Linked DNA regions of Anolis sagrei. Each later gene encodes a partner of the first gene's protein in a complex. Links are inferred from orthologs where the notes say so. Each region holds a gene or a part of one and is shown in the gene's direction. Other genes may lie near its edges.

Region 1 (8,188 bases):
GCGGGACTTATCAGCCTTCCGCAGGGCTTGTAAGACATATTTGCTTCAACAGGCTTTTGACCTTTGATCTATTGTTTCAATTTGTGTTAGATTCCAGTTTGTTTTATAAGCCGCTCCGAGCCCTAGAGGAGTGGCGGCATATAAGTTTGAATAATAAATAAACACAAATACAAACACACAAAAACACATATACACAGATTGGGCCGTAGCAACGTATGGCAGGGGACGGCTAGTCTATATAAATTAAAAATGTGATGTTTGTTTGTGAGATTAACAGAACTCAAAAACCACTGGACGAATTGACACTAAATTTGGACACAAGACACCTAACAAACCAATGTATGTCCATCACTCAAAAAAAATCGATTTTGTCATTTGGGAGTTGTAGTTGCTAGGTTGCTGCCTACCTCCAACAGACAACAGTTCTTTCTCCCATCCTAGACATCATTCCACAGATATATACCGTATATACTCGAGTATAAGCCGACCCAAATATAAGCTGAGGCACCTAATTTTACCACAAAAAACTGGGAAAACGTATTGACTCGAGTATAAGGCGAAGGCAAGAAATGCAGCCATTACTGGTAAGTTTCAAAATAGAAATAGATACCAGTAAAATTACATTAATTGAGACATCAGTAGAGTAAATATTCAAAAATATTTACATAAAATTGTAATTTAAGATAAAGCTGTCCAACTCTGATTAAACTATTATTCTAACCTTTTTCAATGTAAATGTAATTACGTATCCTTCCAATAATAATAAAGGGAGTAAAATAATAAATGTAATAAAAATAATAATAGAGTAAAATAATGGAAATGTAAAATAACAGTAATAAGAGAGTAAAATAATAAATGTTATAATAACAATAATAAATAGAGTAAAATAATAAATGTTGTAATAACAACAATAATAAATAGAGTAAAATAATAAATGTTATAATAACAATAAAGAGTAAAATAATAAATGTCATAATAATAATAAATAGAATAAAATAATAAATGCAATAAAAATAATACCGAAAGCGTCTTTGAGTGAAATTTGCAAATACTAAGTAAGGGGCTTTGAATGAAATTAACAGCAAAAGAGAGACATACCCTTTCTCTGACTTAAAAAGAGCAATATGGAAGAAAATGTTTTTTAAGAAACAAGATGTGACATGTAGAAGGTACTTCTTACACAGGATGCTTGTGGTTAACTTCAAAGGTTGTTTTTTGAAGCGCAGAGACCGCATGTACAAGAAGGTACTTTCCATCAAAAGGTCAGAATTATTATTCACAAAAGGTGTTTTCCCTATGCTTTTTGTTTCTAATGGGCTATAAAGTTTGCAGATTTCAAGGGAAGAGCACGGCAGTCATTTGAAGGGTAACATCTGTGCATGCTGCCCTGCTGTCCGTCTTCTTCATGAAGAAACTAAAATAAAACCTTGTTTTTTTGATCTTTCATTGGGACTGTCTCCTTCCTTTCGTGCTCCCACGACGTGGACCTAAAAAGACTCAATTTTGGGTCTCTAACAATACTAATAATAGAGTAAAATAGTAAATCACATTTACTAGAGTATAAGCTGAGGGGAGATTTTTCAGCTTTAAAAAGGGGCTGAAAAACTAGGCTTATACTCAAGTATGTCCTTCACTCAAAAAAAATAAATGATTTTGTCATTTGGGAGTTGCAGTTGCTGGGATTTATAGTTCACCTACAATCAAAGAGCATTCTGAACCCCACCAACGATGGAATTGAACCAAACTTGGCACACAGTTCTCCCATGACCAACAGAAAATACTGGAAGGATTTGGTGGGCAGTGTCCTTTGGTTTTGGAGTTGTCGTTCACCTACATGCAGAGATCACTGTGGACTCAAACAATAATGGATCCAGACCAAACTCTACACGAATACTCAATATGACCAAATGTGAAAACTGGTGGAGCTTGGAGAAAATAGAATCTTGACATTTGGGAGTTGTAGTTGCTAGTCTATAGGACGCAGACAGTTCGTCCCGTAGGAAAAGCTTCATTCTTCAGAACCATCCGGGGACCATCCAGGGAAATAGGAACAAAAGGAAAAGATCCCAAAGGCTCTGGCTGAGAGCTCACAGCCTCTCATCCTCACAGCACCAGAGGGGAAAACAGCCCTGAAGTTCCCACAAGAAAGCATTACAGAACCACTGAATTCGAGCTGAAGTATCTTCAAGCCTTGGCTGGTAGGTTTACTCGATGTCCAGAAGCAGTTGGGATCGGTAGTAAGACCCAAACCAGCAAGGACCAGATAATAGACAGCCTGGGAGAGATTATAAAGGGTTATTCCTTATGCTAAGAAAGTACAGTTAATTCAAGTCAGTGCCGGTCTCTTAAAGACTAGAACAAGAAAATTTCAATGGCTTCTCTGTGTAGTCTGACATGGTGGTTGTGGGAGTGGTCCAGCATTTCTGTGTTCTCAAATAATCTGCTGTGTCCAGGTTGGAGCTGGGGGTGGTGACGGCTGACAGGGAGCTCTGGCGTGGGCTGGTCTATGAGGTCACGAAGAGTCGGAGACGACTGAACGAATGAACAACAAATTTTATTATTATCCAAAAAATATTTATTTATATTATTATTATCCAATGAATACTGATTTATATTACTACTATTATCCAATAAATATTTATCTTTATTATTATTATTATTATGATCTAATAAATCTTTCTTCTTGACCTCTTTTATTATTATCCAATAAATACTGATCTATTTATTATTATTATCATCCAGTAAACATATCTTATATATTTTATTATTATTATCCATTAAATATTTATTTTTATTAAATATGTATATTTATTTTATTATTTTTATTGGATAATAATAAAATAAATATTTATTATTCATCTATTTTATTATCATACAATAAATATTTAATTATATTATTATTATCCAATAAATATTGATCTATTTATTATTAATATAATCCAGTAAACATCTCTTATTTATTTTATTATCCCATAAATATTTTTCTATATTATTATTATCCACCACATATTTATCTATTTATTATTATTATTATCCCATAAATATTTATTATTCATCTATTTTATTATTATCCAATAAATATTTATTTTATTAAATATTTATATTTATTTTATTATTTTTATTGGATAATAATAAAACAAATATTTATTATTCATCTATTTTATTATTATCCACTACATATTTATCTATGTATTATTATTATTATCCAATAAATATTTATTATCCATCTGTTTTATTATTATCCAATAAATATTTTTATTAAATGTTTATATTTGTTTTCTTATTTTTATTTTTATTATTTTAATTATTTTTATTGGATTATTCATCTATTTTATTATTATCCACTACATATTTATCTATTTATTATTATTATCCAATAACTATTTATTATTCATCTATTTTATTATTATCCAATAAATACTTATTTTATTTTTTATTATTATCCATTAAATATTTATCTATATTATTATTATCCACCACATACTTATCTATTTATTATTATTATCCAATAAATATTTATTATTTACCTATATTATTATTATTATTATTATTATTATTATCTTCCTTCTTGACCTTAGTATCTACTACATATTTATCTATTTATTATTATTATTATCCAATAAATATTTCTTATTTATCTATTTTATTATTATTATTATTAATTATTTTAATTATTATTTCATTATTTTTATTTAATTATTTTTATTGGATTTATTATTATTATTTTATTATTATCCACTACATATTTATCTATTTATTATTATTATTATTATTATTATCCAATAAATATTTATTATTTATCTATTTTAATATTATTATTAATTATTTTAATTATTATTTTATTATTATTTATTTTATTATTTTATTATATTATTATCCACTACATATTTATCTATTATTATTATTATTATTATTATTCAATAAATATTTATTGTTTCTCTATTTTTTATTATTATTATTATTATTATTATCTTCCTTCTTGACTTTAGTATCTACTACATATTTATCTATTTATTATTATTATTATCCAATAAATATTTCTTATTTATCTATTTTATTATTATTATTATTATTATTATTATTATTAATTATTTTAATTATTATTTTATTATTTTTATTATTTTTATTTAATTATTTTTATTGGATTTATTTTATTATTATTTATTTTATTATTTTATTTTATTATTATCCTGTACATGTTTATCTATTTATTATTATTATTATTATTATCCAATAAATATTTATTATTTCTCTATATTATTATTATTATTATTATTTTCTTCCTTCTTGACCTATTCTATTCTTCTTGGTTCAGTTCCTGTTCAAAATGGACGCCCCCATTGAGCCGCTCTCTCTCCTCAGTCCTCCACACTCTATGACCGACACATTTCTCCACTCTCTCACTATAATCCAGCCGGATAGGTTTAGCAACGGAGCATGCGCACTTCCGCCACGCATTCTATAGGTTCAGCAACGGAGCATGCGCACTTCCTCCACCTGCGCACGCATTCCAGTCAGTGGCGAACGAGGATGGGTTACTGAGAAGTGGGGGGGGGGGGGAGACGTCACTTCCGCCTCCTGCGTGCGCAACGGAGCCCAAACCAACGGGGCTGGGCCTCTCCCTGTGCCGTGCGCATGCGCACTCTCCTCTCGTCCCCCTCCTCCCTCCCGCTTCCGGTCCCCGAGTTCCTTAGTAACAATGGAGCCTAAGATGGCGGCCTGAGAGGACGGAGGGCGAGAGAGGAGCCGGGGAAAGGAAGCAGGCGGACAGGGAGAAGGAAGGCCAGCCGCGTCGGGTCCGGCGGACGGAGAACGCAGGAGAGGAGGGAGAAGGAGGCCGCGGACGGAGGTGAGCAAGCCGGCCGAGGGAGGCAAACAGTCAGGCAGGCTTCGACAGAGAACTAGGCCGCAGCCCTTCCTTCCTCCCTCTGCGTTTCCTGCTTGGTGAGGCCTTCAGGGGAATGGCCTCCATACAATTCCCACACAGCCCCACATTCTCTGCTTTGAACCGGATTATATAGCCGTGTGGACTCATTTGGTCCAATTCAAAGCAGGCATTGATATATTGTATGTACATATAACTTGTAAGCTGCTCTAAGTCCCCTTCGGGGAGGGAAGGGCGGCATACAAATGTCATTTTTTTGTCGTTGAGAAACTGCAAGTCGTTTCTGGTGTGAGAGGATTGGGCTGGATATCTGCCTTGATATCCAGGGAGATATGGCTGTGTGGAAAGGCCCGGAGACTCGGAGCCCATCTACGCAGCCATAGAACATCAAAACAGAGAACCCACAATGTCAGCGTTGAACTGGGTTCCCTGAGTCCACACTGCCCTTTATCCCAGGATCTGATCCCAGAGTATCTGATTTAAACTGGAATATAATCATCATAATAAACTTAATTTTTTAACCCACCCACTGGCATTGAATGTTTGCCATTTTCCCTTTTTGGAAGCCTCCCTGAGTTCTCTCGGGGAGACTAATTATGTGTGTGTATGTGTATGTGTGTGTGTGTGTGTGTGTGTGTATATATATATATATATATATATACACACACATACATACACAAACACACACACAATTAGTCTCCCCGAGGGGACTCAAGGAGGCTTCCAAAAAAGTAAAATGGCAAACATATATATGTGTGTGTGTATATATATATATATATAAATGCTCTGTGCGTAATGAGTACCTTAAAAACAAAAGGACCAATGAATGAAATCACACCAAATTTGGCAACAAATGTCTCACAACACAAGGAGTGACCATCACTCAAAAAATTATGATTTTGTCATTCAGGAATTGTAGTTGCTGGTATTTATAGTTCACCTACAATCAAAGAGCATTCTGAACTCCACCAACATTGGAATTGAACCAAACTTGCCGCGCAGAACTCCCATGAGTAACAAAAAATACTGGAAAGGTTTGGTGGGCATTGACCTTGAGTTTGGGAGTTGTAGTTCACTTACATCCAGAGAGCACTGTGGACTCTGCCTTGATATTCAGGGAGATATGGCTGTGTGGAAAGGGCCGGGGACTCAGAGCCCTTCTACACAGCCATAGAACATCAAGGCAGAGAACCCACCATGTCAGCTTTGAACTGGGTTTCCTGAGTCCACACTGCCCTTTCTCCCAGGATCTGATCCCAGATTATCTGATATAAACTGGAATATAATCATAATCAACTTTATTTTTTAACCCATCCACTTTCCCTGAGGGGGAGTGTGTGTGTGTGTATGGCATTGAATGTTTGCCATTTTCCTTTTTTGGAAGTCTCCCCGAGTCCCCTCAGGGAGACTAATTATGTGTGTGTGTGTGTGTGTGTGTGTGTGTATATACATACATACACACACACACACATAATTAGTCTCCCTGAGGGGACTCAGGGAGGCTTCCAAAAAAGTAAAATGGCAAACACACACACACACACACACACATATATGTATATACATGCTCTGTGCGTAATGAGAACCTTAAAAACAAAAGAACCAATGAACGAAATCACACCAAATTTGGCAACAAAACGTCTCACAACACAAGGACTGACCATCACTCAAAAAATTATGATTTTGTCATTTGGGAGACTCAATGTTATATTATTAGCATAGCACAATATTAGTATTATAGGGTTGTTGTAGGTTTTTCCAGCTATATGGCCATGTTCCAGAAGCATTCTCTCCTGACATTTCACCTGCATCTATGGCAGGCATTCTCAGAAGTTGTGAGGAGCTGCATCTATATGCAGGCGAAACGTTAGGAGATATAATGCTTCTAAAACATGGCCATATAGCCAAAAAACCCTACAACAACCCAGTGTTTCTGGCCATGAAAGCCTTCGACAATATAAAAGTATTATATATTAGTATATTGTACTAATACCACTTTACAGTAATATTATTAGTCATATCGCATGTAATATAAAATATAATTATTATATTGTAGTATTATTATTAGTATTATATTGTATTACATTATAATATTATCAGTATTATATATGTATACAATATATTATATTATTGGCACAGCACAATATTAGTATTATATATTACTATACTGTACTATACTGCTATACTGTAAAATTATTAGGAATATTACATGTAATATAAAATATATAATTATTATATTGTATTATTATTAGTATTATATTGTATTACACTATAATATTATCAATATTATATGTGTATACTATGTATTATATTATTAGCACAGCACAATTTTAGTATTATATATTAATATACTGTACTTTACTGCTATACTGTAATATTATTAATAATAATACATGTAATATAAAAGATTATTATATTGTATTATTATTAGTATTATATTGTATTACATTATAATATCAATATTATATATGTATGTAATATAATATTAGCACAGCACAATATTAATATTATATATTACTATATTGTTGCTGGGGGAGGAGTTTCCAACTGATGACCCAGGAGGCATGGTGAAACTCTACGTATCTGTGTGTATGTATGTATTACAGTCAATGACCAGCATCAAAAACGACAAAATGGGGGTGCCCCACTCTCTGCAGCCAGCCCCAGTTAGCAATCTGGCTGCTGCTCTTTGGACTAGCAGAAGTTTCCAAATGCTCTTCAGAGACAGACCCACAGAGATCGCTTTATAGTCATCCAAGCGGGATGTAACTAAGCCATTATTGTTATTATTATTATTATTATTATTATTATTATTATTAAACTTTATTTGTACCCCGCTAGCATCTCCCGAAGGACTCGATGCGGCTTACAAAGTCCAAGGCCTCAACACACAATACAACAATACAAACCAAAGGCAAATTAAAAACAATTAAAGCAATATAAACAACAAGCAATAAACAATACACTAAGACACAATAAAACTGGGCTGGGCCAGAGTAATGGGTACAGGATTAAAAGTGCTGATGTGACAGGTGGGATATAAGGCTTATAGGGCAAGTGCAGTGTGCGGCAATCTTAGTTTTAATAAAGTGCTTCTGGGACTTGGTATTGGAGATTTCCTATTCTGGGAAGGCACATCGGAACAGCCAGGTCTTCAAGTTCTTTCTAAAGACTGCCAGTGTAGGGGCCTGTCTAAGATCTTTGGGGAGAGTGTTCCAGAGTCGGGGGGCCACCACAGAAAAGGCCCTGTCTCGTGTCCCCACCAAACGCACTTGCGACGCAGGCGGGATCACGAGCAGGGCCTCT
Region 2 (7,696 bases), on another chromosome or scaffold:
TGAACCTGTGACCTCTCGGTCTTCAGTCCTGCCAGCACTGGGGTTTAACCCACTGCGCCACCAGGAGATTTGGAGATGGGACGCAAACGTAAACAAAAAAAAAATCACTTATATTGCATATACACCTATGCACATAGTCTAAAGGGATGACACCAACTTTGAACCATTAGAAACTAAAGGTACTGCTGTATGGCACACACATAGACAATTTTGGATATTGAGGTATTTTGGAATTCCAGGTAAGGGATGGTTCTCTGCTTTAAGTAGTAGTTTTTGTGTTCTTCCTCCCCATTAGTGCTATGTTGTAATAACATATCCACACCCTTTTGACAACATTCAGATGTTTGTGAAGAAGTTTTTAACATGGGAAAAACTGGAAGGTATGTTATAATGAGAGTCAGCATGTTACAGTCCTTTGAGTGTCGGGACACTGGGAGACCAGAGTTTGAATCCCCATTTGGCCATGGAAACCACTGTGACTTCGAGCAGGGTACACTCTTTCAACTACAGAGAAAGGCAAGGGTAAACCCCTTCTGAACAAATTCTGCCTTTTTATAAGTTTGTCTTAGTGTCACTGTAAGTTTGAAATGACCTGAAGGCATTGTAATACTATTGACAATATTATACTGATGAAATTACAGAGTCAAATAGTGCAGGATTCTGCTGAACATTCTTCCTAATCTAGAAGTCCATGCAACTTAGGAAAGAGAGTCATGATGGAAGAATTTTATTAGAATTTTATCTTATAACATAAGATAGAAAGCTTCCTGTTCCTAATTTTGAGTAAATCTTTTTTGATCCTCAATAAGCTATACATACTTTTTAAAAAATTACTGATATACTGTGTATACCTATGCATAAGTCTAGAAATTTTAGAACAACATTCATCCCAAAAATATGGATCGACTTATCCACTGGTTAATGCGAGTACTATAGTTTAACTCCAATCAAAAAAATGAGCTATACCCTTATCTGAGTAGAATGGCAAAAAGTGAGAGTTGAGGCTTTCTAGGAGAACCTAAAGGAAGAAACTAAATATATCATCTGCTCTTACTGTGGACTTTAAGACACAGTGACCTTTCATAAGGTCAGAGAGAAGTTTAAAGAATATGCAACTCTTTAAACGTAGATTTAATGCTCACAGGTTTTGTTCAATAGATATTTATCTCAACCCTAGATTCTGACAGATGCTTATGTTTGTTCTTTGCTTCTAAAACACATGCTCATTGCAGTTTGGAAGTAAAAACCCAGATGTTTCAGACATGATGCTTTATTTTCAGATAATCCCTAGGCAAAACATATCTGTTTTTGATTGTCACATTTGCACACCATTTTTAGAATAGCTCCAGTGTCTCACTTCCAGTTCTACCTGTTCCCAGTCAAAAATTCTTCATATGCAGTCTAAACCATGATGATCTTTTCTTCCCTTTTCACTCCACTCCCATCATATTATCAGTTTAATCAGAATGGAGACTACTGAGAACATCTTCACATGACGGGAGATAAAACATCCATACCAATTGATAGGACGGAGCAAATTAGAAGTATATATGAAGATACTGTCTCTGTTCTGTCCAATTAATCTTTTATTTCATACTGCTTCTCCTCTCCTTCCAACCCCCCTTTCTCAAGTTAAGCACCAATGAATCAGAGTATATGGTACCAACTAGCTTCCTGATAAAAAATGGGATTTTGCTAGATGACTGGGGTATGCATTGTGACACAAAGAAATATAACTTTCTGCACTTCAAACAGCAAACTACAGAAAACAGTTGCTGTTCCAATCAGGACAAAAAGAGGTCAGTGTATCAAATTTGCAAGAAATAGCTGCCAATTCCTCCAATTGTTAATCTGCCACTCCATTATGAGGCATTCAAAGATAAGGAGCGAGTCTAAGATACTTGTATCAAACTGTGTTGGTGATGAAGTAGAGCAAGCACACTCACTTTCCCTCTCTTTTACAGTATAAGGAGGTTTGGGGCTTGCTTGCTTGCTTGCTTACCCTAGAGCCAGGCCCGTAGTCAGGATTTTGTTTCGCGGGGGGGGGGGGGGGGGGGGGGAGAGCTGAGTTTGATTCGGGGTGGGGGGGGGAGGGCTGAGTCTGAGTGAAAGGGTCTACCCTAGCAAACCTTTTGTATCGTTACCCCAATACCCCCATGTACATGGGATATATTGAGCATGGTGATCAGATCATGATATGAATAACATAACAGTTTAAATAATGTACCAGTAAGGCCTTCTCGCGGACCACCATGACCCCCCCCCCCCCCCAGCTATATGCCTGCCTAGAGCCAAGACAAGGCCTACATAATGCAGCTGGGTACAATCCCCACTTCTCAGACAGGACTCAAAAGGAAAGTGGAAGTTATTATTGTCCAAATGTGTGAAACATTGTTTATACTTATGCACACTCTTAGTGGCCCAGTCTAACCCCCCCCCCCCCAAAAAAATCCCCATTTTATTCAGGAAAGGAAAAGTCAGCTTAAGTGGCTGAGAGTGAAAAGGAAAAGGCCTGAGGCTGTTAGGAATTGTGAGAGTTAAAGTCCAAAATACCTGGAGGGCCCAAGTTTGCCCTTGCCAGGCTTAGCGGCACTTGAGGTGCACTTTACATAATTTTACTCCAAAAATGGTAACCCAAATCTGCTGGCACTTTGAAGGCCCTCGTGCTCTGCCCTCAATCTTTCTCCGGGCTCCATTCTTCCTCCACAAAGAGGATGTTTGGACCCCTCGAACTTCGAAGCAGTTGAGTAAACAGTATACTCTTTTGAGGTGGAAGAGAAGGCCCCTCACCTGAAGGGAACTGACCCCTGTCCTAATATGGGGTGACCCTGTCAAAAGGCCACCTCAGGCGACCTTCCCTGCCATTAGGCCCCCTTTTGCGTCTGTCAGTCTATCAGTCAGTCAGTCAGAGCCTCCTCAGGCTTTGGGCCGCCACACCCCTCACATCTTGAGTGCAGCTCTCTCTCAAGTGAGAGCCAGTGTCCTCTTAGGGAAGAGAAGCTGATGAGGAAACACAACATACAAACTATCGACAGACCCACCAAGAAAATCCAACAAATGCTACATTCAGCAAAGGACAAGAGGGATCCTCTTACTTCTGCAGGAGTCTACCGTATACCATGCAGCTGTGGACAACTCTACATAGGGACCACCAAACGCAGCATTGCCCAAACACGAATCAAGGAACATGAAAGGCACTGCAGACTACTTCAACCAGAGAAGTCAGCCATAGCAGAGCACCTAATGAACCAACCTGGACAGAGCATATTATTTGAGAACACAGAAATGCTGGACCACTCTAATAATAATAATAAACCTTTATTTATACCCCGCTAACATCTCCCGAAGGACTCGGTGCGGCTTACAAGAGGCCGAGGCCAAATACAACAGTAAAACAGTAGCACAACAAATACAACAATAAATAAACTCATAGAGCAAAGCAATAAACATTAAGCAATAGCAATAAACATTAAACAATAACACCACAACACAGTTAAAATCTAAGGCTGGGCCAAATGTAATGATTAAAAATTTAAAATATGCTGGACATGATCAAGTGAAATGGATAGGTTTTTGGAGATAGGTGCGGTATGCAATTAATCTAGTAAAGTGCATTTGGGACATGATGCATGGAGTTTCCTACTCTGGGAAGGCACACTGGAACAACCACGTCTTCAAGCTCTTCCTAAAGACCACCATGTCGGACTACACAGAGAAGCCATTGAAATCCACAAGCATGTGGACAATTTCAACAGAAAGGAGGAAACCATGAAAATGAACAAAATCTGGCTACCAGTATTTTAAAAAAACTCTAAAATTACAACAGCAAAACAACAGAGGGAAAACAATCAGGGATATCTAATCACCTCTCAACAAAAGACTGCTCCAGGCACTGTCCGGCCATCAAATGCTAATCAAGGTGGTCAGTTGAAACATTCACACCTAGCTCCAGCAAACAAGAGTTCTTTGTCCACAGAGATATAAACCCATTTTCCTAGTTCCAACAGACCTCACTACCTCTGAGGATGCTTGCCATAGATGCAGGCGAAACGTCAGGAGAGAATGCCTCTAGAACATGGCCCGAAAAAACCCACAACAACCCAGTGTCCTCTTTTCTTCCCTCTCGGCCCCGCCTTCTCTGTCCTTCCGAGCGTGGCCCCGCCCCCGCGCTAGCCCCGCCCCTTTCCCCCCTCCCTCCCGCCTCCCTTCTAACTCGAGATACGGACTCCGCCCCCTCCCTCCGCTGGCCCCGCCCCCTTTCCCTTTCCTCACACACCTCACTCAGCCTCCTCCTTTTAACTCGCCCCCCTCCTTCCCTCCCTCCCTCCCTGGCGGCGGCACGCGGCCTCGCTTCCCTACGGGCCACGCGCAGGCGCGCTCTCGCCGCCGCCCCCTCCTCGCCGTTCTCCTCAGCCTCTCGAACTCTTGGCTTAATTGGCCCAGTCGGGAGCGCGCTGCCTCTCCGCGCGGCGGGTTTACTTTTCCTCAGGCGGCGGTGGAAGAGGAGAAGAAGAAGGAGGAGAAGGGGGAGAGAGGAAGGAGAAGCAGCAGCAGCTGGAGAAGAAGTCACCGTCGTCGAGCGGGGGAGGGAGGGAGGAAGAGGGGGTGGGCGCACATGCCTCAGTGACCGGCCGCGGAGAGGAGCTGCCCCCTCCCCCGCCCTCGCCGCCTGAAGGACTGACACGAAGCTGGAGAGCGCCCACCCGCCTCCCTCCCTCTCTCTCCCTCTCTGCCTCCCCCACAGGTAATAACCCCCCCTTCCTCATGAAAGTATCCCCCTATTTTAGAAACCCAAAAGCCCCGCCTCTCGCAGCCAGAAGGACTGACCGCCCCCTCCTCCCTCCCTCCCTCCCTCCCTCTCTTCACCCCTCCTCCCCTTCATCCTGCTTTATTGCCCACGAGGTAAAAATCCCCTCATGATGCCCCCCCCCCAAATCCTCCTTCACTTGGGGGGCGTCCTTTCAAGGAAAACCAACCCTAAAGCCCCTCAGTCTCTAGTTAATCCTCTCCACTATTCATCTGTTTAGCAGGACTGGCCGAATAGTTCCCTTAAGCCCCCTTCCTTCGTCTCCAGCCCCCCCCTTTCCTCAGCCCCCCCCCCTTTTTGTGTCTTAACCATTCAATTTCTCCCACAGACGACATCAATTCCTACAGACTACATGGCCTCTAATCGCCAATTGCCCTCCTCAAGGCCCCCTTTCAATACTCAGCACTCCTAGGCCTTCTGTACACACTGAAGTGTGTGTGTGTGTTTAATATTGAAAATAATCCAGATTAGTATTTGCTTTGAACATAGAAATTCTCCTCTGTCTGGGAAAGGCAACCCCGAATTAGATATTGCTTGCCTTCTAAATTTTGCCAAGATTACACTGATTCCAACCTCAGTCACTAACCCAATTTTGCCCCCTTTCTGTACAGTTAGGGATGCTCCCAAGCCTTCTGCATAAGCAAAAGTGTGTGTGTACTTTTTACCCACATTAATATTTTCTCCAAACATAGAAATGTTCCTCTTTCTGGGAAAGGCAACCCTGTATTAAATATTCCTTGCCTTCTAAATTTTATCAAGATTACACTGATTCCAACCTCGGTCACAAACCCCATTTTGTGCACTTTTTACCCACATTAATATTTGCTTTGAACATAGAAATGCTCCTCTGTGTGGGAGAGGCAACCCTGTATTGAATATTCCTTGCCTTCTAAACTCAATTATTTCAAGATTACACTGATTCCAACCCACTGCTGTCTTAAACCCCATTTTGCCCCCTTTCTGTACAGTTAGGGATGCTCCCAGGCCTTCTGCATAGGCAAAAGTGTTTGTGCACTTTTTACCCACATTACTATTTGCTTTGAACATAGAAATGCTCCTCTGTCTGGGAAAGGCAACCCCGTATTAGATATTCCTTGCCTTCTAAATTTTGTCAAGATTACACTGATTCCAACCTCGGTCACGAACCCCATTTTGCCCCCTTTCTGTACAGTTAGGGATGCTCCCAGGCCTTCTGCATAGGCAAAAGTGTGTGTGCACTTTTTCCACACATTAATATTTGCTTTGAATATAGAAATGCTCCTCTGTCTGGGAAAGGCAATCCTGTATTGAATATTCCTTGCCTTCTAAACTCAATTATTTCAAGATTACACTGATTCCAACCCACTGCGGTCTTGAACCCCATTTTGCCCGCTTTCTGTCCTTGACAGTTAGGGATGCTCCCAGGCCTTCTGCATAGGCAAAAGTGTGTGTGTACTCAGACCTCACAACCTCTGAGGATGCCTGCCATATATGCAGGTGAAATATCAGGAGAGAATGCTTCTGGAACATGGCCATACAGCCTGGAAAACTCACAACAACCCCATGTGTGTACTTTTTACCCACATTAGTATTTGCTCTGAACATAGATATGCTTCTCTGCACGGGAAAGGTAACCTCGTATTAAATATTCTTTGCCTTCTAAATTCAATTCTTTAAAAATTACACTGATTCCAACTTGAATCTCTTTTGCCCGCTTTCTGTACTTGGCAGTTAGGGACGCTCCCAGGCCTTCTGCACATGCATAAGTGTGTGTGTACATTTTATCCACATTAGTATTTGCTTTGAACATAAAAATGCTCCTTTGACTGGGAAAGGCAACCTGTATTAAATATTAATTGCCTTCTAAATTCTTTCAAGATTACACTAATTCTAACCGTGGTCACGAACCCCGTTTTGCCTCCTTTCTGTACTCAGCAATTAGGGATGCTCCCATGAAAAAATGTGTGTGTACTGGGTTGCTGTGAATTTTCTGGGCTGTATGGCCATGTTCCAGAAGTATTCTTTCCTGACGTTTTGCCCACATCCATGGCAGGCATCCTCAGATTGTGAGATATATTGTATGTAATTTTTACCCACATTAGTATTTGCTTTGAACACAGGGCAAAGGCTCCTTCTTTGGAGTTTTTAAAGGAGAAGCTGGATGACCATCTGTCAGGGGTGCTTTGAATACAATTTTCCTGCTTCTTGGCAGGGGGTTGGACTTTATGGCCCACGAGGTCTCTTCCAACTTTATGATTCTATGAAATACAATGGTTCCTTTGTCCAGGAAAGGCAACCCTATACAGGCAGTCCCCAAGTTACGCACAAGATGGGTTCTTAAGTTGGATTTGTTTGTAAGTTGGAACAGGTACTTTTATAAGTGTACCTCTGGCATGCACACACATACATATGGTATTTGTTTTGCTGTCTGTCATCCAGGTCAGAAGATTCCACCTCACTTTTTGTTCCTGTAATAATTGGATTTATTTAAAAAATGTGGAAACAAGGATTGGTGATAAAGCTTCAGTAGATAACTGTTCTAGGAGTGGATTTCCCTTTCTGGAGGTTCTCCCACTTCCTGCTGTTGTGAGTTTGCCAGACTGTATGGCCGTGTTCCAGAAGTATTCTCTCCTGACATTTTACCCACATCTATGACAGGCATCCGCAGAGGTTGTGAGGTTTGTTGGAAACTAGGCAAGTGAGGTTTATATATCTGTGGAATCTCCAGGGTGGGAGAAAGAACTCTTGTCTGCTTGAGGCAAGTGTGAATGTTGCAGTTGGCCAGCTTGCACCTTCAAAGGCTGGCTGAGTGCTGCCTAGTGGGATCTTTTGTTGCGAGGTGTTAGCCGGCCCTGATTGATTCTTGTCTGGAATTCCTCTGTTTGCTGAGAGCTGCTAAAACTTCCTATG

Evidence for each region. Proteins that work in one complex are often made in the same cells at the same time.
Region 2: the proteins of RLIM (region 1) and ubiquitin-conjugating enzyme E2 E2 are in contact, whole or in part, in a crystal structure (PDB 6W9A), measured with the Homo sapiens proteins. The link is inferred for Anolis sagrei from reciprocal best matches to the Homo sapiens genes RLIM and UBE2E2. Residues at the interface, in NP_057204.2 of Homo sapiens: Ser571, Val572, Cys573, Ile574, Thr575, Cys596, Arg599, Trp600, Pro608, Ile609, Arg611; in NP_001357154.1 of Homo sapiens: Lys52, Thr55, Lys58, Arg59, Lys62, Pro112, Asp113, Pro115, Phe116, Ile142, Asn146, Trp147, Ser148, Pro149, Ala150, Leu151, Thr152.

What each region holds. Positions count from the first base shown.
Region 1 is NC_090030.1:32,285,672-32,293,859, reverse strand, and holds the start of RLIM (E3 ubiquitin-protein ligase RLIM), read left to right. Parts: upstream 1-4,651; 5' UTR 4,652-4,849; intron 4,850-8,188. UniProt on the Homo sapiens protein: E3 ubiquitin-protein ligase.
Region 2 is NC_090026.1:86,091,463-86,099,158, reverse strand, and holds the start of ubiquitin-conjugating enzyme E2 E2, read left to right. Parts: upstream 1-4,298; 5' UTR 4,299-4,744; intron 4,745-7,696.